7 linked regions of the Cricetulus griseus genome follow. The protein of the gene in region 4 purifies or fractionates together with the protein of the main gene of each other region. This does not show direct contact. Links are inferred from orthologs where the notes say so. Each region holds a gene or a part of one and is shown on either strand. Other genes may lie near its edges. The genes, in order: Thoc7, Thoc1, Ddx39b, Ncbp3, Thoc6, Thoc2 and Thoc5.

Evidence for each region.
Region 1: the proteins of Ncbp3 (region 4) and Thoc7 purify together in Homo sapiens (co-immunoprecipitation; 3 studies listed by BioGRID and IntAct, with this or other methods). This does not show direct contact. The link is inferred for Cricetulus griseus from reciprocal best matches to the Homo sapiens genes NCBP3 and THOC7.
Region 2: the proteins of Ncbp3 (region 4) and Thoc1 purify together in Homo sapiens (co-immunoprecipitation; 4 studies listed by BioGRID and IntAct, with this or other methods). This does not show direct contact. The link is inferred for Cricetulus griseus from reciprocal best matches to the Homo sapiens genes NCBP3 and THOC1.
Region 3: the proteins of Ncbp3 (region 4) and Ddx39b purify together in Homo sapiens (co-immunoprecipitation; 4 studies listed by BioGRID and IntAct, with this or other methods). This does not show direct contact. The link is inferred for Cricetulus griseus from reciprocal best matches to the Homo sapiens genes NCBP3 and DDX39B.
Region 5: the proteins of Ncbp3 (region 4) and Thoc6 purify together in Homo sapiens (co-immunoprecipitation; 3 studies listed by BioGRID and IntAct, with this or other methods). This does not show direct contact. The link is inferred for Cricetulus griseus from reciprocal best matches to the Homo sapiens genes NCBP3 and THOC6.
Region 6: the proteins of Ncbp3 (region 4) and Thoc2 purify together in Homo sapiens (co-immunoprecipitation; 3 studies listed by BioGRID and IntAct, with this or other methods). This does not show direct contact. The link is inferred for Cricetulus griseus from reciprocal best matches to the Homo sapiens genes NCBP3 and THOC2.
Region 7: the proteins of Ncbp3 (region 4) and Thoc5 purify together in Homo sapiens (co-immunoprecipitation; 3 studies listed by BioGRID and IntAct, with this or other methods). This does not show direct contact. The link is inferred for Cricetulus griseus from reciprocal best matches to the Homo sapiens genes NCBP3 and THOC5.

The regions. Positions count from the first base shown.
Region 1 is NW_023276807.1:171,880,540-171,884,830, reverse strand, and holds the start of Thoc7 (THO complex subunit 7 homolog), read left to right. Parts: upstream 1-1,491; 5' UTR 1,492-1,603; coding exon 1,604-1,622; intron 1,623-1,772; exon of another isoform or gene 1,773-1,941; intron 1,942-4,291. UniProt on the Homo sapiens protein: Component of the THO subcomplex of the TREX complex which is thought to couple mRNA transcription, processing and nuclear export, and which specifically associates with spliced mRNA and not with unspliced pre-mRNA.
Region 2 is NC_048595.1:236,160,915-236,164,414, forward strand, and holds the end of Thoc1 (THO complex subunit 1), read right to left. Parts: intron 1,925-3,500; coding exon 1,777-1,924; intron 1,188-1,776; coding exon 1,112-1,187; intron 476-1,111; coding exon 180-475; 3' UTR 69-179; downstream 1-68. UniProt on the Homo sapiens protein: Component of the THO subcomplex of the TREX complex which is thought to couple mRNA transcription, processing and nuclear export, and which specifically associates with spliced mRNA and not with unspliced pre-mRNA.
Region 3 is NW_023276806.1:231,776,165-231,779,664, reverse strand, and holds part of Ddx39b (spliceosome RNA helicase DDX39B), read right to left. Parts: intron 2,584-3,500; coding exon 2,452-2,583; intron 1,052-2,451; coding exon 942-1,051; intron 853-941; coding exon 708-852; intron 589-707; coding exon 441-588; intron 1-440. UniProt on the Homo sapiens protein: Involved in nuclear export of spliced and unspliced mRNA. Component of the TREX complex which is thought to couple mRNA transcription, processing and nuclear export, and specifically associates with spliced mRNA and not with unspliced pre-mRNA.
Region 4 is NC_048600.1:86,818,150-86,822,143, forward strand, and holds the start of Ncbp3 (nuclear cap-binding protein subunit 3), read left to right. Parts: upstream 1-1,194; 5' UTR 1,195-1,234; coding exon 1,235-1,420; intron 1,421-3,428; coding exon 3,429-3,494; intron 3,495-3,994. UniProt on the Homo sapiens protein: Associates with NCBP1/CBP80 to form an alternative cap-binding complex (CBC) which plays a key role in mRNA export. NCBP3 serves as adapter protein linking the capped RNAs (m7GpppG-capped RNA) to NCBP1/CBP80.
Region 5 is NC_048600.1:43,199,643-43,203,748, forward strand, and holds the start of Thoc6 (THO complex subunit 6 homolog), read right to left. Parts: upstream 2,801-4,106; 5' UTR 2,701-2,800; coding exon 2,662-2,700; intron 97-2,661; coding exon 1-96. Other genes in the region: Hcfc1r1 (host cell factor C1 regulator 1), read left to right, coding at 3,107-3,192, 3,640-3,768, 3,980-4,106. UniProt on the Homo sapiens protein: Component of the THO subcomplex of the TREX complex which is thought to couple mRNA transcription, processing and nuclear export, and which specifically associates with spliced mRNA and not with unspliced pre-mRNA.
Region 6 is NC_048604.1:26,148,732-26,152,231, forward strand, and holds part of Thoc2 (THO complex subunit 2), read left to right. Parts: intron 1-1,127; coding exon 1,128-1,403; intron 1,404-2,319; coding exon 2,320-2,461; intron 2,462-2,891; coding exon 2,892-3,049; intron 3,050-3,500. UniProt on the Homo sapiens protein: Component of the THO subcomplex of the TREX complex which is thought to couple mRNA transcription, processing and nuclear export, and which specifically associates with spliced mRNA and not with unspliced pre-mRNA.
Region 7 is NW_023276807.1:99,973,201-99,975,659, forward strand, and holds part of Thoc5 (THO complex subunit 5 homolog), read right to left. Parts: intron 2,381-2,459; coding exon 2,265-2,380; intron 1,000-2,264; coding exon 809-999; intron 1-808. UniProt on the Homo sapiens protein: Component of the THO subcomplex of the TREX complex which is thought to couple mRNA transcription, processing and nuclear export, and which specifically associates with spliced mRNA and not with unspliced pre-mRNA.

The sequences.
Region 1 (4,291 bases), on a different chromosome or scaffold from region 4:
AGAAATGCTTTTTAAAAGCATCCTCTCACTACCTGACAGCTTTCCATTAAACAAGAAATCTCCCTACCAAAGTGTTGGGGCACCTATGCAGCCCTAGCAGGCCAAAAACTCCATAATTAGACCCAGACTGTTGTCAACTCACAGACCTGCCAGCCCAGATGGGATTAAAGGCATGACTACCACTGCCCTGCTGAATTTAATATTACTATTATCCTTCCTCTTACTTCAAGGAAATGAACAGGTTCAAAGTCCAAGTTATGAAAGCCTTTAGCCAATACTCTTTCAAAGAGTCAGGGACTGCAGCTTCAGTATTTAGAAGAGGTCAGTTATGCCTGAAAATCTTCATTCAAGATTAATTTCTGTCTCTGTGACAAAAGTCCGTAATGTACTTGACATATAATCCTGCCAAGCAGCAAAAACCACTTCACTAACATACATTGAATGGTTCCAAGTTTTCTGCTAAAGAACTGAGGGAATTCTGGGCAGATGCATAGACCCCACTTCAGAAAAGTAGTCTGAACCACCAAACTGACCCCCCACACAATTGCTTTATGCAGGATCTGAGGATGCAAGGGACTTGGGAATCACGAAAACTGGAAAACAACAAAAACCTGGGTTCCAAAGTCGAGCACGCTTCTGGGTGTAAAGCTGTCCTGCTGGATGTCAAATCAACCTTACCAGGGGTTGTCTCTCACCACTTACATGGTTCCATTCAGGAGACACTCATCATAGTGATTTTTCTGGAAAGATGACAATATAATCTGCAGAGTGCTCCAGCAATATGTACTCTACACCCCAAGCAACGTTTTTCAATGAGCAGCGCCACCTCCCCCAACACCTTCTACTTTCAACTTCCCTTTAAGAAGCATTTTTTTTTTTTTTTTTTTTTGAAAAGCAGAGATAATACGAAAACGAAGGCACCCCATCTGGATTCTGGCACCGAGGGAGAACTGGGTGAGGGGCAAGGACGGCAGGGACTAAGCTCCTGGTTCTGAGCAAAGTACTCCCAAAGGTCGCCAAGTTTCTATCCCCCACTTTGCCAGCACCTGCCAGAGCTCAGGAAGGGAGGATGGCTTTCCGCGTCCGCCTCAAGGACCCGGGTTCGAGACCCGCCGGGGCGCGCGTGGGCGCCAACTTGGCGACAGTCGCCGCGGCCCCATGCCAACGAGCTAGTGGAACCCGGCGGCCGGGGGGCGGCGGTCACCCGGAGCGGCAGGCGCGGAGCCCCCCGAGCGCGCGCAGCCCGGAGCTCACCTGGCGGCTGGCCGCGGCCTCCAGGGCGGCCTGTGGCGCGGGCCGGGCGGGGACGACGGGGTGCGCGGGCCGAGCCGCCGCCGGCCGCCCGCCTCGCCCTTCACCCGCCGGCCGCTCCGCGCCCCGGGAGAGCAGCGAGCGCGGGCTGCGCGGGTCGCGCGGCGGCGGCGGCGGCGGCGCGGCGCAACTCAGGAGTCGGAGAGGCGGCCGCGGGCGCCGCCGCCTCCTCCTCCATGACTGTTTACCCGGCTGCATTGTGGGAGTTTGACCTCCGTCGCCAACCGCCGCCTCAGCTCGCGCGCCGCCGCCGCCGCCGCCGCCGCCGCCGCCGCCGCCGCGCGCGCACGCCATGGGAGCCGTGACTGACGGTGAGGCCGCCGCGGGGTGCGGGGACGCGGGGCAGCGCCGAGATCCGGGCCGTCCGGGGTGGGGGCTCCCGGGGCGGCCGGGAGCGACGGAGGGCCGGGCGCCGAGCCCGGGGAGCCCGAGTGATGCAGTGCGCCGAGGGGGCCGCCTGGGGGGCTTCCCAGGCCGGGCTGGGTCGGGCCCACAGGCCGTGCGGCGGGCCCCCGGGGGCCCTGGAGTTCGAAGTGAGGTGGATTGCGGGCACCGAGCTGGGGACAGCCTCCAAAAGGAATAGGGGTGTCCGGAAGGCCGGTCGGGAAGTGTATCTGGGCGACTTACAAGGTAAAGCGCCCCGTGGGATGAAGCCGGCGGCTTAGACCGCGACCACTGAAGGAGGGCATGTTGGGGAGGGTGGTTTGTAGGCCTGGATGAATTGAGGGTGATGGATTGTGGACAGCTGTGGTCTGTGGACTGAGAGCAGAAATAAGGGGGCATTTCAGGGAGGTATGGACAGATGCGGCGGGAAGCTGGAACAAGAACTTAACATCGGTACCTGCTTTTGGTAGAAAGGTTTCTGTGGCTTGGAGCTATTCTTGAGAGGGTGACCAGTAGCTATGGGTACCAGTGGACTGACATCCAGAGAATGGGAAGAACAACTCAAGACCCAAATTTGAGGACTGTTGGAGGAAAAGTCTAGGTAGGGATAAATAGAGGAATTTTAATCTTATTTTATTCCAGTTTCGTTTATTCAGTAGGTATTTTCCGTACTTCCAGGCAATGCTTTACTTATATTTTGCAACCCAGAACAGGCAAAGAAGTTTGCTCTTGTATGTTTGCAGTTTGGATTGACTGTAAACGTTAAATAATTGGGGTAGGGTAGGGGTGAAGGTATGGTGTGTGTGTGTGTGTGTGTGTGTGTGTGTGTGTGTGTGTGTGTGTCTGTGTGTGTGTGTGTGTGTGTGTGTCTGTGTCTGTGTCTGTGTGTGTGTGTCTGCCTGCTGCCCTCCCTGCCTCACCTGTTCCCCAGGCAGGCCACCCTTCCCATGTGGCAGTTAGGGGACAATTTGCTGAAGTCACTTCTTTCCTTGTGGGTCCTGGGGATTGAACTGAGGTTGTTGTTGATCTGTCTCTACTGGTGATTAGAAAACTTGAAAAGACTTCCTTCTCACCCCCATTCCTTTGAAGGATGAATGGATATATTAGGACTGGAATTACAAATGACCAGTCATTTATACAAGTCCCAAAATGCTGAAAGAAATTAAATATGTCATGTAGTAATTAGCTAGAACTTAGAAAAAGTTAAGCACCATGAATTTTTAAGGTCAGGGGAAGCCACTGGAAATTTTGTTTGTTTGATTTTTAATTTGGTTTAGTTTGGGATTTGGATTCTTTTGAAATGAGGTCTTCCTAAATGTATCCTAGGCTGCCCTGTAACTTACTATGTAGATCAGGCTGTCCTGGAACTCACAGAGATCCCCACCAGCTTCTGATTCTGCCTCCTAAGTGCTGGGACCAAAGGTACTCCATGTCATATCAAGACAAGTTTTAAACATTAGTGCAATGTTTAGTGCAACATTAGTGATCAGATCTGCTTATATTTAATTACTTGAAGTGTTTTTTTTTTTTTTTTTTCAATGCTGAGGACAGAACCCATGCTCCTATTCATAAGAAAAGTGTTACATCCTCATCCTGATCTACGTGATTTAAAGTGCACATACCCATTCTACTGTGTGGAGAATATTAAGGAAATTGGAAGGGAGGTGCTGAAATCACTTTCCCCTTCAATAACATAGTACTTGTAGCATGTGTGGTGCAATGTTCTAATTATCCCCATTTTATACATAAAACTGATAACCTAAGAAACTTGTCCAGAGTTGTAGTGGTAGTAAGTTCCAGAACCTGGGCTTAAAAACCAAGCCACATCCTGTGTGTGTGTTTTGTCTGCACGTGTGCTTGTGTACCACATGTGTCTGGTGCCTGTGGAGTCCAGAAGAGTGCTGGGAATTGAACCCATACCTCTGTAAGAACAGCCAGTGCTGTTAACTGCTGAGGCATCTCTCTGACTGGCTAATATGCACTGAGCTCAACTCCTGCTGCAGTAGTGCTAGTGAAAGGTAATTGGGCCAGCACTCCAACTAAGGGGATTCAGTAAGTGAACTGGTCAGATGTGCTGGGATGTCAAAAGATGATCTTATGTTTCTTATTTGTGTGGATCTGTGCCTTGCTCCAGAGGAGTGATGAATTTTTCAGGTGAGAGAAGGGAAGGAATGGTGAGTTACAAACTTACCAACTGCAGCCCCCTAATCCTTAGAAGCCATAGGAATCCCCAGTTGACAACTACCAGCTTCTGACCTTGTGGAGGTTACCTAGCTTCTTTGAGGCTCAGTTTTGCTCTCTGTTAATTAAGCTACTAATAAAATCTACCCTGGAGTGCTGTTTTGGAAGTAAAGGACATTGTACTGAATCACACACATGCTAATGTTCAGTGAATCTTTCTAAATACAGAGTACCCTTCCCTGTCTTGTTATGAGGGAAGGAAATTGAACTGAAGTAAGAACTAAGTAATCAACAAATGTGAGATGCTAGCTAGGTACAGAAGGAAATTAGAGGGAGAGGGTGCTGGAAGGGGAGCATACATGCCTCTGTGTTAGTTGGATTAAACTAAGACCCTTTTGTATGCTATGCAAGCACT
Region 2 (3,500 bases), on a different chromosome or scaffold from region 4:
ATACTCCAAACTAAGGTTTAGACAGTGCCTGTTTTGTAGTTCTTGAAGCACTAACCAACTGTGCAACAGCTGTTATAAAACTGTTTATTGTTTACCAAAACCACTGGACCTCTTATCAAATGCCGCTTGGTAACAAAATCTTATCACAGTTTAATAAAAAAGAAAGAAAAGAAAGCAAGCTAACTATTTGTCTCGGAGTCATTAGTTAGGCTTTCAGCAAGGTCACTTAATCCAGACTTGTTTAGTGCGCTGATCAGGTTATCTGTTGTTGCATGAGCTCCTTCTTGATCTTGCCAGGCAACAAGGAGCTGCTTGGCCCTCATCTTCACGTCTTCACTGTCACACTCAATCTGCCTAATTTCAGAGTCTTTAATTTCTAAGTACGGAGCCAAAATCTTCCATTGCTCACCAAGTTTGTTGGCAAATAACTCTATCTGTTCCCCTGTTACAGGTTTATCTCGCCGAACATCAGGGCCTAGAAGACAAGAGGATATAAATTATCTGAAAGACCTGCAAAGCTTAAAGAACAACAACAAAAAACTGGGTTACTAGTCACATTAAGCTTTACTTTAAAACTTAATTCTACATAGGTTACATACCTTCTTAGGAAAAAAAAAAATCACAATTCAGGCAATTATTTTTTATTTTTTGGTTTTTCGAGACAGGGTTTTTCTCTGTGTAGCTTTGGAGCCTATCCTGGCACTCGCTCTGAAGACCAGGCTGGCCTGGAACTCACAGAGATCCGCCTGCCTCTGCCTTCCGAGTACTGGGATTAAAGGCGTGCACCACCAACGCCCAGCTCAAAGCTATATTAATTAGGAAGATTTTCCCATAGAGATGTTCCTTCTAGCCCCAATTAAATTAGCAGAGTTCAAGGCTCTGCCTTAAAACACCCATCTTTTTTATCTTTAAAATTATTTCCAAATTTCCCTATATAAAATGTATTTTAAGTGACTAATGGCTTTAATCTCACTGTAAACTGAGATAAAATGGTAGAAGTTGAGAAGTAGACCAAATTATACAATGTACCTCTCAACAAAGAACCCTAATCTTTTTCAGTTTTGTGAAATAGCCAAAAAATTCAATTTCAATTCAAAAATTCAATTCTTACTTTCATTTTCCTTCAGTAAAGCATCATTATCTTCCTCATCTTCATCTTCACCTGTTTTTATTTCTTCAGAAGGAGGCTATAGTAAATGAGAAACAATGGTGTTTAAAAAAACACTAGTTTCTGAAGATAACAGGAAATAGTTTAGATAGGTAATTAATGGACCTCAGACCCTCTCAACCTGTAGGTCCTGTCATTTTGGGCAGAAGGAAGACAGAGAAGCATGAACAAGCAGGTTGGTAAACACCTAGGCTTTAGTCAGTATTGTCTAAGGGGCAATAGAGATTAACCATGTCTATGGTTACCGTACTATAAGAAAACACTGCCAGGTACCCTACTGCTACTCCTAGACCCTGCTCTTGACAAAATATAGTAAAATACATTTGGTAAGAGCAAAAACTGATCCAATTTACTGCAGGCAGTAGCTTTTTCCAACATGTTGATAAATTGGGTGTTGCACAGAAAATTATACCACTCTTGGTTCACATTTTCTCCCTAAGTGAATGTTCAACAACAACCTCTGCCTCAAGTTGTGTGTGTCCTCCCCCGCCCCCACTACTACTGTTGTGTGATACACTAAAATTTGAGTTCTGCTCAAATACTGATAGCAGTTTTAAAGCAGATAATGTCTACTAAAGGAAATGGGAAAAATGAAGTATGTCACTTACTGGTAGTTCCTTGGCTAGCTTTATTACCATGTTCTCCAGGTACTCTGGCAGACTCTTAAATTGCTGGTTGGTTGGCTGGAAGAAGTGAGGGCTTCTTCGTGCTAAGAGCCTGAGAGCTCTCCACCCATAATTTGAATTGTTCACAGCTCTGTAAGAGGAGTTGTTAGCCTTGGATTTATAATTATCCACTTCCATAGTTGTTTCCATGTCACATGACATTTTGTACCATCCTTTAGTTTGAAAGTTTATATATTTTGCTTATTTTAGCAAGTCAGTGGTCTATGTCTCAACCCCTGGCTACATAGAAACTATTCATCCAGTTATACAGAAGAAAAGGAAAGATAGGAAAAATGATATTTGGTGAGTTGGTTGGTATCTGTATCTGCATTGCTACCTACAGATATGTGAGTTTAGAGTATTTCATAAATTCGAGTTTATCATGTTAATGTAACTAATACAAGTTGGAGATCTCTAACCTAAAACCTTAAGTGTTTAACTTTTCTTAAAATGCTTACCTGCTAGGGTCTAAAATGTTCCAAATATGGGGGGGAAAATCTGAAAACACAGCCGCAAGTATTTTCAATAAGGGACCTGTATTTAGAGTTGTGTTTATGTAACAGCTAATCTTTAGTTCACTTAATTTCAATGTCAATGATTAAAAATGGCTCAAAATGTCAAAAGAGCAAATATCCAGTACCCACAGTAGTGACACACTGATGTCAAGAAAAGAATCAGAAGGTGAGGAAAAAGAACCTATGAGAAATCCTAAGGACTCCCGCCCCCAATAAACGGATTCTATCTTGGGCTTTGTTATGTTCTTTGTATTTAGCACAGATCTGCAATCTGGTTTATTTGGTGGCCTCTTATTAACTCTGATATACACTCTTCATTTTAAGCACGAGATGAGACTTGTGCGTATTTTACTAATAGGATCTTACTCTATAAGCCACACTAACCTCAAACTTAATCCTCCTGCTTTAGCCTCCAGAGTGCTGGGATTATAAGTATGTGCTCCCATGTCCACTCTTTCTGTGTGTGTGCTACTACCTTGCCTGCCCTTTGTGTCTGTCTGTCTGTATGTATGTATTTATTATTAGGCAAGGTCTTACCATGTAGACTTGTGGCCTCAAACTCAGAATCCACGTGCCTCTGTGTCTGAGTGCTGGGATGAAAGGTGTGTATAACCATGCCCAACATAATTTCTTGTATACTTTAGACTTTTATTATGTATATGGGTGTTTTGCCTGCATGATTATCTGTGTATGCCAAAGGCGGCCAGAAGATGTCATTTCAGACTCTGGAAAGAACAGCCAGCACCCTTAATCTCTGATACATTTTTCTTCCCTGTATATATTCAAAAGATCACTCTCTGGTGCATGGAGAATAGAACACACTGGTTAAGAGGTTGGAGCATGTAAAAACGTATCATGGGGTCAAAACTAGTCATTTATATCATGTGTCAGCAACATGCTGTATATGGATCAAAACGAACCATTTAATCTTCAGAATAACTCTGTGAAATGAGTGGCTATTATTTAGCAAATGAGAAAAGGCACAAGGATGGGAACTTACACATTCTGACGAGAGCCCCTGCCTTTAAATCACAACTCCAAAACACCTACCTAAAAATACTGTCACATGAAACTCTTTAGATAAAAGATGGTGAGTCTTAAAAGTTACCCCAGAAATCTAGGGTGGAGGGGACAGCAAAGCAAAAGGCAAAC
Region 3 (3,500 bases), on a different chromosome or scaffold from region 4:
TAAGACAAAAGAGGAGAAATTTAAATTTCTCTCCCTCCCTCCCTTTCTCTCCCCACAGCTGTGTCCTAGGTTCAGAGGATACTCTTGGGAGTAGGAACACTCCCTGTTGCTGGAGAAAAGAGACGGATAAAGACCCCACACAAGCGTCCCTCACCAGAGCATGGAAACTCCAGGAGGGCAGCCAGCAACCAAGGGCCATTCAGCACCAGAGGCCTCTACCCAGAGGTTTACATGAGGCACTAACAAGGAAAGAGGGAGCAGGATTCAACAAGATGCTTCAGAGGGCAAAGGTGCTGTCACTAAAACTGACAACCTGAGTTCACGCCGGGAAACCCACAGGGTGGAGGACAGACACCCAATAGTGTCCTCTGATCTCTACATGCTGTGGTATGTACACACACGCACGTACGCAGCAGGCAGCATGGTGGGGGTGCACTCACTGTAGGAGGAGATGTCGATCTCATCGGGGAGCTCACTGATGTTGACCTCAAAGCGGTCCTGCACGTCATTGAGGATCTTAGCATCATTCTCATCTGACACAAATGTGATGGCCAAGCCCTTGGTGCCAAACCGGCCTGCTCTGGCCACCTGGGAGGAGACAAAGGGAAGATCACAAGTTCACAGGGGAGACAGAGATACAAGGGAAGGGGACAGCGTGTGCATGAGCGCAGGCACACAGAGGAAGAGGGGGAGGGCGGGCAGCTTACCCGGTGCAGGTAGGTGTCTGAGTCCTCTGGCATGTCATAGTTGAAGGCGATGTTCACACGCTCAATGTCCATGCCTCGACCAAACAGGTTGGTGGCCACAAGAATCCTCCGCTGGAAATCCTTGAACTGCTGATACCGAGAGAGCCTTTGTGAGGAAGGAGAGGAGAAGCTTGAGATTCCCTTCTCACCACACCCCTTCCTCCCCAGAGCACAAATCCCTTGTTTCTCACTCACCTCTCCTCCTGGGGCATGCCGCGGTGGATAGCAATGGCGGGGAAGTTCTGCTCCACCAGAAGCTGGGCCAGGGCGATGCACCGCTGCACGGACTTCACAAAGATCACCACCTGCGGAGCACGGGAGTGATGAACATACAAGTTTCCACAGTCATCTCAACTCTTAATGGTTTTTAAAGTTTGTGTGTGTGGGTGATTTGCACGCATGTAAGTGTAGGCACATTCATGCCTGACGCCTATGCAGAGCCAAACGAGGACACTGGACCCTCCTCACATACCAACTGCAGTCACATGATTAGGAACTGACATGCTATGGAGAATTGGGGAGCCCTGAAGAACAAGAGTGCTCTTAACCTCTGAGTCACTGTTTTGTTTTTTGAGACAGGGTTTCTCTGTGTAAACCTGGCTGTCCAGGAACTTGATCTGTACATGAGCTGGCCTTGAACTCACAAAGTTCTGACTGCTTCTGCCTCCAGAGTGCTGGGATTAAAGGCTTGAGCCATCCTCACAGGGCTCTGAGCCACTCCTTCAGCCCAGCCCCAGTGGTATCACTACTGATAAATCTATATATATGTATGTTTGTGTGAATGTATGCAGGTGTATACAGGTGTCCTTCAAGGCCAGAAGGGTGTGCTGTATTTGTATCTGTATCTTTATCTGCTGGGGCCAATTACAGGCATCGGTGGGAGGGAGGGGGTGTGGATCCTCTGAAGAGCAGGGCGTTTGAGGTCCAGTTGTCTTCAAACACATTATATAAACGATGCTGACCCCACACTTGATCTCAGAGATCCACCTGGCTCTGACTACACAGAGTCAGCTTGGGATTTAAGACTCCCATACTAGCACACCTGGTGAATTTTTGTTTGGTTGGTTCTTTGGTTTCTCTGTGTAGCCCTGACGGTCCTAGAGCTCACTCTGTAGACCAGATTGGCCTTGAACTCAAGAGGCTTGCCTGCCTCTGCCTCCAAGAGCTGAGATTAAAGGTGGGTAGCACCACTAACCCGCCCTGGCAGAATTTCTAACGAGTTTCTCAGGCCCTTTTTCTGTCTCAAATGTCTCTTCACAAATGTCCTCTTCCTCTCTTGAACTTAAGGCGTGTGCCTAGGCCAAGATTTCTCAACAGCCTGACGTGTGAGCTGCCACAGACACAAGACCTCAAACTGGCACACACACGGGTGAGGCGCCCTCAGGAAGATGGTAGGATGTGAACTACAGTCTAGAAAACCAGATGAGCCTCTGGAAACACTAAGAGCCCCACAGGGCTCTGCAGCCAGCTGAGCACAGGCTGACACTGCTCCTCCTGGGTGACTGTAAAAGACAACAGCAGAGCCACCACGTCAGTACCCAGCTCAATGCGTTCCTCCACTCACTCAAGTCATCACGGACTCTACCTCAGCTGTCTCTCACACCTTCACACCCTTGGCTCCTCAATCACAGGCTACTTCTCCACAGGCTTCTGCCACGGCTGGGGATGCCCAGTGCTCAAGACCACACAGACCCTCAATACTGACCTGGTTGAACTCGAGGACATCGAGAAGGTCAAAGAGCTTCCGGTTCTTCTCGTTGTCCTTCAGTTTCACGTAGTATTGCTGCAACCCGTGCAGCGTCAACTTGGTCTCATCATCCACGAAGATCTCCATAGGCTGAGGGAAGGAGGGGTGGGGGCAGGAGGAGGGCAGAGTGGGGGGTTAAACCTGGGGGGGTGGAGGGTGATGGTCTCCAATACACCCCATGGACTGATGGGGAGGAGAGAGAAGACTGAAAAGCCCTCCCCATCACAAGAACGCTCTGTACTGAGGTCCCTTTCCAGTTAGGTATGGCAGTATCTGCAGCAGCTGAATTTTAAGCTCAACTGAGAATGGTCAGAGGAGAAAGGAACTCTGCACAGAGTGGTGAAGCTCCCAGCTGCAAGGTGCCAGTGTCAGAGCTGATGGGGGAACGTTAGCAATGGAGATGGTACTCCAGGGGAGAGTTAGCTATGGAGATGGTACTCCAGGGGAGAGTTAGCTATGGAGATGGTACTCCAGGGGAGAGTTAGCTATGGAGATGGTACTCCAGGGGAGAGTGAGCAATGGAGATGGTACTCCAGGGGACAGCATAGTCAGAACACACAGCAGAGGCAGCAGTGAACCGGCCTGGGCATCGACACCACAACAGGCCAGGGCTGACTGCCCCACTCAACTGTCCTCTCTGCACTTCAGCAAATGTCCAAGACCAGAAGGCTGCAATGGACACAGCCAAAAACGCCATTCAAAACCTGGGCCTTAGTGGCATGCTGTGATCCCAGCTCTCGGGTGGTTGAGGTAGAAGTTATTAAAGAGAAGCACACATTGCTCAAGCTGTGAGACACCTTGTACTCAACACACTACTCAGCTTTAGAAGGGATTTTTCTAAATTCAGAGTCAAACCGTCTATACTTGGGAGGTGAGGGATGAACACACTGTGCTGGCCAACAGAAGTACAGGCTCTTTCCCACACCCACAACAGAACCTGCACCTTCTGAGCTCTAACTCCTGACCGACCCTCAGCACCTTCCATTTCTCTGGAGCCCTCACCCCTG
Region 4 (3,994 bases):
TAGACTAGGAGAGAGGTCTAGAGAGGACCCAGACTTAGCTAAAGGTGAAACAGGAGGAGACAAAATCAGCACTCATGACAAGTCAAGAAGCCCTTCCTCTTTCCCAGCCAGACTCCTCCTAGAAACGTTTGTGAAGTCTTTGATCGGTAGAGCCCCCAGACGTGAGAAAACGGGGTCTAAAGTCTGTCTCTGTCCTTTGGGGTAGATCACTACTACCTTGGAGCTCTCTCCCCCTTTAAGATAGGGTCTTCTGTAGTTTAGGCTGGCCTCAAGCTAGCTATGTATTGGAGGGTAACATTGAATTCCTAATCATCCTGCTTCTATCTCCCAAGTGTTGAGAATACAATGGTGTACTACCATGTCTCACCTTGGAGCCCTGGATGGCCTGGAACTCACTACCTAGACTAGCATGGCCTGGAAATCATAGAGGTGCACCTGCCCCTGACTCCTGAGTGCCGGGATTAATGCATATAACCCTATGCTGGGCCCCAGCTTAAATTTTTGACTACATAAAATGGCTCAGTTACTGGAAGACTTGTCAGAGGCAAGGTTTCTAAACGTTCAGATTGCCAAGAGATGATAGATTCTATGTAGTTCATTCTGGGCTCTGAAGCCCGATTGTCGAGGCTCAGATCCAGGTAATCATTTAAATAGCCTATACCTGAGGAAAACTATGCCCCAGTTTTCTCCTACGTGGAATGAAGGTAATAAAATCTTATTCGTAAAGTTGTAAGAGTTCAAGTCTTGGAAGTATTGGGCGCATGGTCACTCAGTAGTTCTTAAGAGTATAGTCCCCTCCGGTCCTTGGTGGTGCACGCCTTTAATCCCAGCACTCAGGAGGCAGAGGCAGGTAGATTTCTGTGAGTTCGAGACCACCCTGGTCTCCAGCGCAAGTGCCAGGACAGGCTCCAAAGCTACACAGAGAAACTGTCTCGAAAAACCAAAAAAAGAAAAAAAAGAAGAGTATACTCCTCAAAATGCAGGTATTTTGGAACCTCAGACGACGCCCCGCCTCCGTCTCGGTTTGGTCCTGCCCACTCCTCGCGAAATCCCAACCCAAACCTGCCCCAGGTTCCCGGGCAATCAACGGGGGCGCCAGAGATAAGGACAGCTTTTTGGTAGAAACGGGAGACGCTCTGGCTGCCGGCGGCTCTCCTCTGTGGTTGGCGGCCGCGGCGCTCTAGGAGGCGGGTTGTGAGGGGCGGGCTTTCTGTGGTGCAGCCGGCTGGCAACTATGGCGGCCGTTCGCGGCCTGCGAGTGTCTGTGAAGGCAGAGGCCCCGGCTGGGCCCCCGGCTTTGGGGCTTCCGTCGCCCGAGGTGGACTCCGGCTTGGAGCGTGGCGAGCCGGAGCCCATGGAAGTGGAGGAAGGCGAGCTGGAAATCGTGCCGGTGCGGCGCTCGCTGAAGGAACTGCTCCCGGTACGGGCGAGGGGCGGGGGTTGAGGAGGAGGTCGCCGAGCGAGTGTCCCTTGGAGGCGGGGAGGTGGCGGACCGCGGCGCTGGCGCAAGTCCGAGAACCCGGAGAGGGGCGCGAGCGCCGAAGGGCGGGGGCCGCACTTGACCCGGAGAGAGCCGGAGCGAGAGAAGGGACACCCGGGCGCCCGGAAATGGGTGCAGAGAGCGCTGGAGGAGGCGGAGGGCTGCCAGAGAGTTGGGGGACACCCCTGTCGCTGCCCCGCGGTGTCGGCCGGTGCCCCGGAGCGATGAGCTGTGTTCGGCTGGAGATAAAAGGGAGCCGCGGGCGGGAACAGAACCTGGAACAGCTCTGAAAGGAAGTGTTAGGTGGCGCTGGCATCCAGGTCTCCTGCTGGGTCCTGCCCCAGCGGAGTTAGTTGTCTGTTAAACATGACAGTCGCTCTTCGCTTGAGAGGGCCAGACCTGTCAAGCAGCAGACACTCGTGTGGTGGTGTTGTGGGTGAGGGTCCCCATGTCCCCGCGCACCTTCACTGCACCTACTCGCAGGTCCCGGCTTCTGACGCCCGGTGACATTTCATCTACATTTTACCACAGTGGGTATGAGGAGGACTGTTTTGCTTGTGGTTTGGTAGTCGTATGCCCTGTTTTAAAAGCTAGTCTGGGGCCTGGATAGCTCGATTTTCACACACAACATGCCCCCACCCCCACTTAATTCCACGATAGCAAGTCTTGCTTTTACATTTGACATTATGAGTAAAGGGTTATACAAATGGCAATGACTTTTGTAACAACACAATGACAACTTTAGTATTTTTCACATTATGTCATTAGATTTTACTGTATTTGTGACTTAGGTGTTACCCATTCATTCAGTTTAAGTATCGCACCCCCCCACTACGTGCTAGACATAATCCTAGGTGTTTGATTAAAATCAAACTCCCTCTTGGAGTTTTCCCTAGTAGGGGACACAAATTAAACAAATAGTTTCCTTTTGTGTTAAGTACTATGAAGAAAACACACCCCTTTAATAGAAAGTACAGAGGCCGGGAAGGGTGTGAAGCAGTCAGTGTCTGTCAGGGTGTGTAGAGAAGTCCCCTGAGATAGATTTAACCATAACCCTACATGACAAGAAGGGGCAACCGTGTCAGTTGGAAGGGAGCATTTTCTAGCAGGAATGGCAGCAAGCACAGTGTCTCTGAGATGGAAACAAGATTGTTTTGTTGGGGTACATTAAGCTCAAAGGGGAGAGCAGAAGTCAGACAGATAGACAGCATAGAAGAAAGCAAGGCTCGGATGTCCAGGGTATTGAATGCAGAGCTGAGACTTCAGCCCTCACTCTATCCGTTTCCCCTCCTTTTTTCGTTGTATTGGGATGTATTTTTCTCAGATCTAGGACTTCGTGCATTTTTGTGGAGGTATTTGCTCCATCTAGTGGCCTTTCATGGGGAATTTGTCCAGTCTGGGTTGGGGAACAACTAAGTGACTATCTCATTTTTTTTTTTTTTAATTAAGCTATACATTTTTCCCCACTCCCCTTCCCTCCCCACCTCTCCCCTTCCACCCTTGCACCTGCTCTCCAAGCTCCCAATTTACTCAGGAGAGCTTGTCTTTTTCTCCTTCCTAGGTGGACCCATGCATATCTCTCTTAGGGTCCTCTTTGTTACCCAGGTTCTCTGGGGTTGTGGCCTGTAGGCTGGCTGATTGTCCTTTGCTTTGACTATCTCATTTTTGACATTTTCCATAAATGCCTTTAGAGTTTCCTTTCTGTAGATACTTTCAGTTGACAGAATTACTCAATATTTTGAACAGTTCCTGTCTGGGGTCTGGAAAAGACTTCCTGTTAGAATTGTTGATTGCTAATGCAGAGTTTCAGAGATGGACTTCCTAATAACACAGGTGTTAGGGTGGAGAAGGGCTGCTGAAAAGAATGACTTCAAAAAGAGCCAGATATCAGGCTGCCTTTAACTGTGGATTTTTCTCCCAGAATTTCCCATCTTTCCTCTTCTGTTAGGACACAAGCAGAAGATATGAGAACAAAGCTGGCAGCTTCATCACTGGGATTGATGTCACCTCCAAGGTAAGACAGACTGGGGTTATTTATTCAATTTGATAAGCAGGCAAAATTAATACTTGGTCCTTAGGACTTAGAGGATAGTAAATATTCTTTGCCTCCTTTTTTATTTTGTTGCATATATAGTATATTATCAAATATCTATATTCATCTATCTACCCAAGGATGCCCTTGAATATCCTGAAGACATCAAAGCAGCATTTGTGTATATCCATGAAAAGATTATCACTATACTTAGATGACTGTACTTAACCCCTTTCAAGAAAAATGCTTATTTTAGTATTTATTATTACATATGATGTTTGTGTGTCTGTGTGTAAGAGTGTGTCCATGATATAGCACACATGTGGAAGTTAGAGAACAGCCACAGGTGTTGGTTCTCACCTTCCATCTTTTTTTATAATTAATGCTATTTTTAGATTTATGTATATGAGTGATTTGCCTGCATATATGTAAGTGCACCACATGCAGACCTAGTTCCTGAGGAGGTCAGGAGAAGGCTTCAG
Region 5 (4,106 bases), about 44 Mb from region 4:
GTAATTGTTGCCAGCTGCCAGAAACTTCCCGCAGGGCGAGACACTCTGGGAAAAGATGGTCATGTGCAGGCGCTGCAGGGCCTGCGCTACCTCAGCCTGTGGGAAGAGGGTGGATGAGGAGATTCTGGGAGGTCTGGGTCCTCCTCCTGCAGACTCCTGTTTGTCTACCCTGCCCAGACTTCAGCCCTGCTCAGCCACAGCCACAGGCATCTCCCCATACAAGAGTGGCTCCAGGAAGAGAGTGAGAAAAGGAGAACAGGGGCACAGTACCTAACACTTAGAACAAGCACCAAGCCTCTCCTGTCAGCTTAGTAGACAGATGGCACTCCCAGGAAACGCTGGTCATAATTAGGTAACTAATGAACAGTAAGAGCTTTGTAGCCAGGTTTAGTAGGTGCACAACTGTAATTCCAGCACTTAACAGTTGGAAGCAGGAAGATCAGAGGAAATTCAAGATTATCCTCAGCTACATAGTGAATTCAAGGGTAGCCTGGGCTACACGAGACAGTCTCAAATACGCACACATACACACATCTGAGGATGTAACTGAACTGATAGTGTTTGATTAGCATGCACCAGTCCCCAGCACTGCACACTGCATTAAACAAGCACACACTTGTGGCCTGTGATTTCAGCACTCAGGAGTTGCAGGCAGGAGGACATTCCCCCACTCCAAGGCAAACTCCAGACCAGCTTGAAATATGTTGACTCTGTCTCAAAAAACTAAGTGAATAAAAATAATAAATCTATTTTTAAAATAGGGGGGTGTGCCTGGAAAGATGGCTCAGCAGGTAAGTGTGCACTACTCTTGCAGAGAATCCTACAGACCCACATGCCAGATCACAACCATCTGTAACTCCAGTTCCAGGAGAGCTGACGTCACTTCCCCCAGTCCCTCCAGACAGGTTCTCACAAGAAGCCCTCTTTGTACCAGAACTCTCTATGTAGATCAGGCTGGCATCATAGAGATCTGCCTACCTCTGCCTTGCAAGTGCTGACGTTAAAGGCACTGAGTCATTAGGTCTTGTTTTGTTTTTTTCAATTTGTGTGTGTGTGTGCTGTGTATACCAGTGCCCATGAAGACTAAAAGAGCTTGTTGGGTCTCCTGAAACTGGATTACAGGCATCTGTAAACCCACTCCTATATGGATGCTGGAAACTGAACTTGGTACCTCCAGAAGAGTAGCAAGCACTTTTAACCACTGGGTCATCTCTCCAGCCCCCTGTGATGCCTCTTCTGGCCTCCGAGGATATGATAAACATACATAGCACACATACAACTGCTAGGAAAACATTTATAGACATAAAACAATGAATAAATCTTACAAGAAAATAAATGAGCCTATCGTGGAGGCACACCTTTAATCCCAACACTTGAGGAAGAGGCAGGCAGATCTCTATGAGGTCCAGGCCAGCCTGCTGTACTTCCTGAAAACTTGTTTAAAAAAAAAAAAAAGGTAACTACTCAATGGGTAGACCATGTTCTTTTGTTTGTTTGTTTTTTGTTTTTGTGGGGGGACAAGGTTTCTCTGTGTAATCCCTGGCTATCCACAAACTATCTCCGTAGACCAAGCTGGCCTCAAACTCATAGAGATCCACCTGCCTCTGCCTTCCGAGTGCTGGGATTAAAGGCATGTTCCACCACCAACAAGCCTATGCTCTCTTTTTTTTTTTTTTTTTTTTTTTAAAGATTCTATTTTTAGCCGGCCAGCGGTGTCGCAAGCCTTTGGTCCCAGCACTCGGGAGGCAGAGGCAAGGCAGATCTCTGTGAGTTCAAGACCAGCCTGGTCTATAAGAGCTAGTTCCAGGACAACCTCCAAAGCCACAGAGAAACCCTGTCTGGAAAAAAAAAATAAAGATTCTATTTTTATTGCTTTTAATTATGTGTATATGTGTGTGAGGGGAGTGTGTGCAAGTGAGTGCAGGTGTCCACACAGGCAAAAGGATGCAGATCCCCTGGAGCTGGAGTTACAGGCAATTACAAGATTTGAAATTTGAGTGCTGGGAACCAAACTTGGGTCCTCTTCCATCTTTCCAACCGCTAAAACCTATTCTAACCCAAAGTTCTGTGTTTGCGCACCAGCACTGTATATATTGGGCATTATGGCACACCCAATAGCCCATAACATTCAGAGGGAGGCAGAAGTTCAAGGTCATTCTCCATTATATAACAAAGTTCAAAGAAAGCTGGAGATATATGACACTGTCTCACAAACAACAAGCAGTTCTTGGGCTGGGGTATAATTAAATGACAGAGCATGTTCTTACTGCGTCTAAGGCCCAGGGTTTTAAAAAAGGCTCATGTACAATGATTAAACTTTTTTTTTTTTAAGTTGGGGTCTCACTATGTATCCCTGGATGACCTGGAATTCACTATGCAGCAGGCTAGTTTCTAACTCACAGAGATATGTCTGCCTCTGCCTTCCCAGTGCTGGCATTACAGGTGTGTGGAACTACGTCCAACGGCTAGTTTTTTTTAAAGTGGCTTTATTATCCTTCACAGTAAAATGTACTGACATTTAGTCCCTATGTCACTATTAGATCCCAAGGACCGGGGATCACTATTCTGGGGGGGTCAGAGTCAGAGTCCGAGTATTTCTTGGCCACCAGGTCATGGCAAGACTACAAACCCCAGAAGGCACTGTGCGCACACTCGACTCACCTGACCCAGAGGCACCGGCGACGGTGCGACGTGATCCATCTTCAGAACTACAAGTCCCAGAGGGCTCTAGGCGCGACACAACCTCTCGACTCCCTACGTGCGTGAGAGTGGTTCTTCTCGTTGCGCCCCAGGACCTGGCACTGTCGGCCGTTCAACAACTAAGGCGGCAGGTCGGTGCTGTCTCGAACCACTGAAACCTAGGGGAACTCTGCGAAGCACCCTTACGCTAAGTAGCGTCCAGGACTGCCCAGCTACACCGAATCCCCTCCCCCACCCCGCCGACCTGTCCCGCCTTCTAACCTCGCGGTGCTCGCCTTCCGCGCCTGCGTCGAACGTCTCCAGTGAGCACGCCGGTAGCCCCGCCCCTCGCGTTGTACCACGCCCTCAAAGGCTCCGCCTCTGCCGCCTGGATCCCACCCCTCTATCTGCAGGACCCCGGACCGTAATGATCCTACAACAGCCCCTGGAGCGAGGCCCTCCAAATCGTGATCCACGGGCCACCACTGGGGTGACTCGCGGCCTGGACGCTAGGTGCGTAAGCGGCCCCTGCGTGGGCCGGACTAACGGAGGGCAAGAGCTTTGGCTGGGGGCCCAGGGCCGGTCAGTAGGGTGATCCTGGGAAGAGAGGCAAGGTGGTACAGGAAACCGTGGTGTTTGAGCTTGTGTTGGAACTGGGAAGCCACGGTCAGGATTTCCGAGGTAGCCTGGTGGATGATGGCCTGAGAGAGTAAAGTGGCTTAGGCCACACAGACAAGACTGATTCTGGAATCCTGGCTTATTCTGCAAGCTCAGGTAAAGAGAGAGGGTGGGCTACACCTGGCTCTATTTCCCAGCTCCCCTCTCCTAGGAGCTGTGCCCATGAGCACGGAAACCCCTGGAGGAGCATTAAGTTTGGGGGCAGATGGGTCTCCTTAGATGTCACCTTTGGTCCTCATCAGTTTGCCTCCACCCTCTGTTCCTCTCTGGTCTTTCCCCCAGGGAACCCTTGCACAAGCAGTTTCTGTCTGAGGAGAACATGGCCACCCACTTCTCCCGACTCAGCCTACATAATGACCACCCCTACTGCAGTCCCCCTGTGACTTTTCCCCAAGCCCTGCCACCACTCAGGTAGGCACCTCCCCTCGCAGGGCCTTCTAGAGAATCACATTCGGTCCTCAGAGCCCCTCCTCATGATCTGCCTCATCATGCTATTTTTAGCTTCTAGCCAACTTCTGTGCTGTTTTCCATCTTTGGCTCCAGGGGATCTGGACCTGGTAGGAGGTGGCTCTGCCAGGCCAGCCTCTGCCCCATACTTTCACTGTCTCTCTTCTTCTTTCAGGAGCCCTTGCCCAGAGCTGCTTCTCTGGCGCTATCCCGGGAGCCTGATCCCTGAGGCCCTCAGACTGCTGAGGCTGGGGGATACTCCCAGTCCCTACTACCCTGCATCCCCAGCTGGGGATATCATG
Region 6 (3,500 bases), on a different chromosome or scaffold from region 4:
ACGTTAGCAGATGTCGTTCTGCTCATCTAAATTCATATTAGTTACCTTCAGCAAAATCTATTTTCTAAATTTAAAATCCTTTTTACCCTAGTACTGGTCTTGGTCTCTGATATTATACCTTGTATACTTTCCTACAGCTAATGTTTTTGTAGCTTTATCAGTTCTGTTGTTAATAGCATATTCTCTAGCATGGGAATACAAAGAAATAAATAATCCTACTTCTAGAAAAATTACAAGATTCCTGGATTCTGCTTTGCATGCCAATGAATGTAATGGTCTTAACATGCTTTTAGTCCAGCTGAGATTATTCCTGTCAGTGCAGAACTGAAGCCGAACCTTTATAGATGATCATCTGGTTTGGGGTCATATGTTTATCATGAACTGAATGATTTCAGTATTTTTCTACTATAAAGAAACAACTGGTTGTGGGAATTTTTGATTCACCTTAAGCATGATGCCTAAACCAAGTAAAATTTTCTTGGCAAGAGGTCTTTCATCATAAAATGGCTGAAAGGCATGAGGTAGTATATTAACTTTCTTAGCTGCATTTGACATATATTCTATGAACTAAAAATTATGTCAATATCACTGCACTAATAGATTCATCTTTACCTCATGTCATTAAGAATATAGCCTTCCTCTGATTCTCTCCTTAATTAGGACACGCCAGTCAGGACAAAAACAAAACAAAACAAAACTGTAGCATCAGTTCTTACATGATTTCAATTTAATTTACCACAGGTACTTATGGAAAATTTTATTTGGCTTGGCAGTAGACTAAAGTAGCTGGTCGCTCTGTCTGGAATGTTGTCAGTTTCAGCATTGAAGTCTTGCATTCTGGGAATCCCCTAAGTCTCTGGCAAAACTGGACATTTGGTCACTGAGGTAGTAGTCTCAGTAACTTTTTATAACCTTTCTTAGTGGCATTCCAGCTTCTTGATACATGCCCTATTGGAGTCAAATTTTATTGAAAAAAAAAAACCTTCTAGTTAAAAACATGGAAACTAAGGATTGGAACGGATTGCAGAGATAATTTGTCTTAGAATAAGTGCTCTTGGTAAGAAACTAGAATTATCATTACAGTTTTGTATAAGTATATATGATATGTTTTAACTTTTTATCTCCAGTCAAAATATGATGAACTTAAAAAATCGGAAAAGGGAAGTAAACAGCAACATAAAGTCCATAAATACATTACGTCATGTGAGATGGTGATGGCTCCTGTCCACGAAGCAGTGGTCTCCTTACACGTTTCCAAAGTCTGGGATGATATCAGCCCTCAGTTCTATGCTACCTTTTGGTCACTGACAATGTATGACCTTGCAGTTCCACATACCAGCTATGAAAGAGAAGTTAATAAACTTAAAGTCCAGATGAAAGCGATTGATGACAATCAGGAAATGGTAAGTTTTATTGTAGCAACACAAGTATAATAATTGTGACTTTTATGTAGTATTGTCCCTGCTTTGTAATTATTTTAGTTCAAGATTCTTGATTCTACAGTTTTGTTGCTGTATATTATTTTAAGTGGATTTAATGGCAACGTGTCAATGGATTTGGCAGGATCTTAGCAAATGGATGGAAAGTATGATAAAAACATTCATGTCTTTTCTACTGAACACTGTCATAGCAACCTAAGGTGATTAGTTTGACGCTTATTTCAAGAGCAGTAGGAGTTCCCAAAGGATTATAAATAATCCAGCAAACACAGGGAGTAGTATGGGGTTTAAGGAGATCTCCTTTATTCTACTGAATGGCCTTGATCATGTACTTGAACAATGAGGTTAGTAACAAATTAGGCAGGGACTGAAAGTCAGGCAGAATAGTAAATATGATACAATTGAGGGCTTGTTTAGATACTTCAGCTGGGGAATAACATGTAAAAATGGTACTTTAGAAAGATTATAAGAGCAATCTGAAGAGTGATTTTGATAAGCGGAGGATCTAGTCTAAGGCTGTGTATCTTTTGGGGTAATTGGCTATGTGGTACTGAGAATGTAGGCTATGTTAGAGACAGTGTCAATACATATGACTTGTAAACAAGTGGAATATTTGAGTGAAGGAAAGTGAAAGATGACTTCATTTTTGCCTCAGAATGATACCACCACTGTTACCTAGGTGACCTGTTCAGAAGGTGTCTGAAGACTAGGTGACACTGATTGAATGTGTTGAATGGAAGGAAAAGTATTCAGGAATACCTACTTTATAGTCATGCTGAGATAATTATAAAGTGTAATCATTTTTCTCTTTAAAAAAAATCTTAATTACATGAAGGGAGGCAATGTAGATAGTTAAAAAGTATGTGACTTTACTTTGTAGCCCCCAAATAAAAAGAAAAAAGAGAAGGAGCGTTGCACAGCCCTTCAGGACAAGCTTCTAGAAGAAGAAAAGAAACAGATGGAACATGTTCAGAGAGTTCTTCAGAGACTGAAATTGGAAAAAGACAACTGGCTTTTAGCAAGTAAGTTGTTGGGATTGTACATTCCTGCTGCTGCTAAATTGCAAAAGCAAACATTTCTAACTTTGGAGGTGTTCAAGTGATTACATTGATTGATATTCAGCTCAGTTCACTGTTCCCTTCTTTAGTTATTCATTACAGCGGAATCAACTTCATGTATTCACCAAAGTGACTGATGGTTTAGTTGGCTATTGAAATAAAATTAGCTTATGATAATATTGGCAACTTAGTATTCAAATTTTCTATATAGAATCATATTTATTAGAAATTGTAGATAGAAAAGTATTGATAGAGTAAAAGTGATATGAATCTTTATCCCATAGTTTGTGGTTTTATAGCATTCTGTACACTACAGTTAAAATGTTGTGTTTGGTATCCTTGAGGCACTTGGGGAAAACGATTACTGCTTAATATGTTCCTCTTTTATTTTTAGAGTCAACCAAAAATGAGACCATCACAAAATTTCTACAGCTGTGTATATTTCCTCGATGCATTTTTTCAGCAATAGATGCTGTTTACTGTGCTCGTTTTGTTGAATTGGTACATCAACAGAAAACTCCAAATTTTTCCACACTTCTTTGCTATGACCGAGTAAGTTCTTGTTGCAACCTTTAAAAACAAATCTTAGACAAAGACAGCTAAATATTTATTATAAACTTCAAATGTGGACAACCATGATCCTTTTTTTTTGAAACAGGGTTTATCTGTGTAATAATAGTTCTGGCTACCCTGGAACTCATCTTATCGAGCAGGCTAGCCTCGAACTCACAAAGATCCACCTGCCTCTGCCTCCCCCTCCTGACTGTTGGGATTTAAGACATGTGTAACCACGCCCAGGTGGAATAGCATGATCTTGTTTTTTGGGGGGGGTTTCTTTTTTTTTGTTTTTTTGTTTTTTTGTTTTTTTGTTTTTTTTTTGGTTTTTTGAGACAGGGTTTCTCTGTATAGCTTTGGAGCCTATCCTGGCACTCGCTCTGGAGACCAGGCTGACCTCGAACTCACTGAGATCCGCCTGCCTCTGCCTCCTGGGTGCTGGGATTAA
Region 7 (2,459 bases), on a different chromosome or scaffold from region 4:
GAAGGGAGATCTAACAGTCATCTCTAGAGTTTTTAAATAAATAAAAAAAAAAAGAATAAATAAACCACATTAGGGAACAAACAGGAAAGAAAACCTCAACACCCAAGAAAATGGAAAACTACCCTGAGGTACTGCAAGCCCAGACACTCTACACAACAAGTTGCCAAGGCCTGCTAACACACTCTGAGACCCTAACTTGGAGCAGGAATCATCTAGAAACGTCACAAAAATTATCTGAGTCACCCTGAACCCCATAGAAGGTCTTTCTCCTCCTCTTCAGGCCTAGGACCAAGGGCTTGGTGCTAGGCAGAATGGACTACTCTGTCTTTAGGGTGCTCACCTGCTGGCCTTCTAGAAGCTCTGTTTTGTTTTGTTTTTTTTCTATGCTGCCTGGATGCCCTCTGTCTTTTCTCACTGAGGAAAGAACACTCAAAGATGCCAGCAAGCTCACTAGGACTGTGGGGTGTACCACCCTAAGTGTTCACTTGGGTATCAAAAGTAAACAGGCCCTGCTGTTTCCACAGAAAACACTCAAGTTTAGCCAAAGCTTTTTAGCATGGTCTGGTGCAATTTCCTTAGTTGGATGGCCTTCTCCAGGGGGTGACCAAGAACAGGTGAGCCAGCTGCAGGTAAGTCTCAGGAAGGAGAAAACACGTTCTTCTTGGCAATATGGCAGCACAATTTTCTGCCATGAATGGAAACAGGCGCCCTCTGTTTCAGGCCCTTCCAATGAGACCTAGTCTTTGGAGGACTCTGATCTTTGTCCATGTCCTCATGAGGAGTCACAAAAGCCCAGCCCTCTACTCACCTAAAAAGCCGCAGGCACATCTTCTCCTGGGGAAATTCCTTGGGGCCCTCTACACTGTCATCATGGCTCTCCGTCTCCAGGTAGACATCCAGCAGCACACACAGCCTCTGCAGCTGGTTGGTCAAGAGTTGGTGGCTGGGCCGAGGGCCACACAGTTCCTTATAGCACACGTTGACCTCACTCTCCATAGCCTGTATGGGTGGGAAGCCAGCACATCAGCATTTCCTTCCTAAGTATGGATGGGCTTTTACCACACTGGCCAGGCTTTTACCTCATTGCTGTACCTGAGAACACCACAAGCCTTACACTTGGCCCCTGAGTGCACATACACACACACATACACACACACAGAGTCGTGCCACAGCTTTGTCCAGAGACCCCTGATTATAAGGATTTCCCCTAAATGCCTACAGCAAGGGTTACAGGTTTGTAGAGGATAAATCTTAAGTCCCAAGTCAGAAGGCACTAGGCTTTAAAAACTTGATCTATGGCCATAGGCTACCAAATCCTGTCAAGAGGCAATGCCTTAAACAACAGTCTCAGCACACTCACTGTCATTGAATCTGAGTGTTTCTGTAATGTTTCCAGAGTTTATTTACCATCTCACAGAAGCCCCAGGTGACAAGATTTTAAGAAAACTTTTTGTTTTCTTTGGAGGCAGGGTTTCACTGTGTAGTCTTGGATGGCCTGGAACTTACTATGCAGACCAGGCTGGCTTTGAATTCACAGAGATCTGTCTGCTTCTGCCTCCCCAATGCTGGGATTAAAGGTGTGCAGTACCATGCCTTGCTGTAGGGAACAGAGGAAACCCTGAGTGTATGAAATCCAGAATGAGTATGTATAAAGTCCTGAGTGAATATGTGTTGTCATCATGAGCTGGGACCCTAACCTCACATCCACGCAGGTATGGCAAAGCCTTCCCCTCCCCCACATAAGGCTAAAAGGAATGGGAAAGCCTTCCCTTCTGATCCAAATGGGAATGTTGATCAACCATAATTTTATACCCCCTGCATATTTACGGCCTGGAGCCTGCTCCTACTGGGATTAGCTAACCTTGCCTTCTTGGTCCATCTGTGTACCATGACCCCGCTTCCATGTTCAACTCTATGTAATAAACATGCTGGGCTTGGGGGTGGACTAAGATTTCTCCAGCTGAGAGACCAGAGCACTGGATTCCAGCTTTCTGAGCTTTCTGTGTGCCTGTCTTTTCTCCCTCATCTCCCTTAGTGAGTTCTAAGTCCCTGGAGTGCAAGGATGCTGCACCCAGTTAACAATGCTATTTGATGAGTGGGAAAAGCTGTGGGCCTCAGGGAAATTAAGGGGTGAGCACATTCTATAAATCCTGTAAGCTCCTATTCTGGGACTGAAGCACATGGCCTCAGCAGCTGCAGGCGTGGCCACTGCCCACCTTTCTAGGGGTTCTCCCTGTTCCTCCTGACACACATGTGGGTCTTACCCGAATATTGTCATCATTGCTGTTGGTTTTCTCCCCTTTCCAGTTTAGACAGAGTCGGAAAATGGGTGGGATGGAGGAGTAGCCCGGGTTCAATACCACAGCAGCCTGAAGTTTAGCTGGGAACAGAGGAAAGGGAGAAAATCAGTGATCACCCAGCTTCCCACGATGGTCTCCACACCATACCAAAGCCAACAC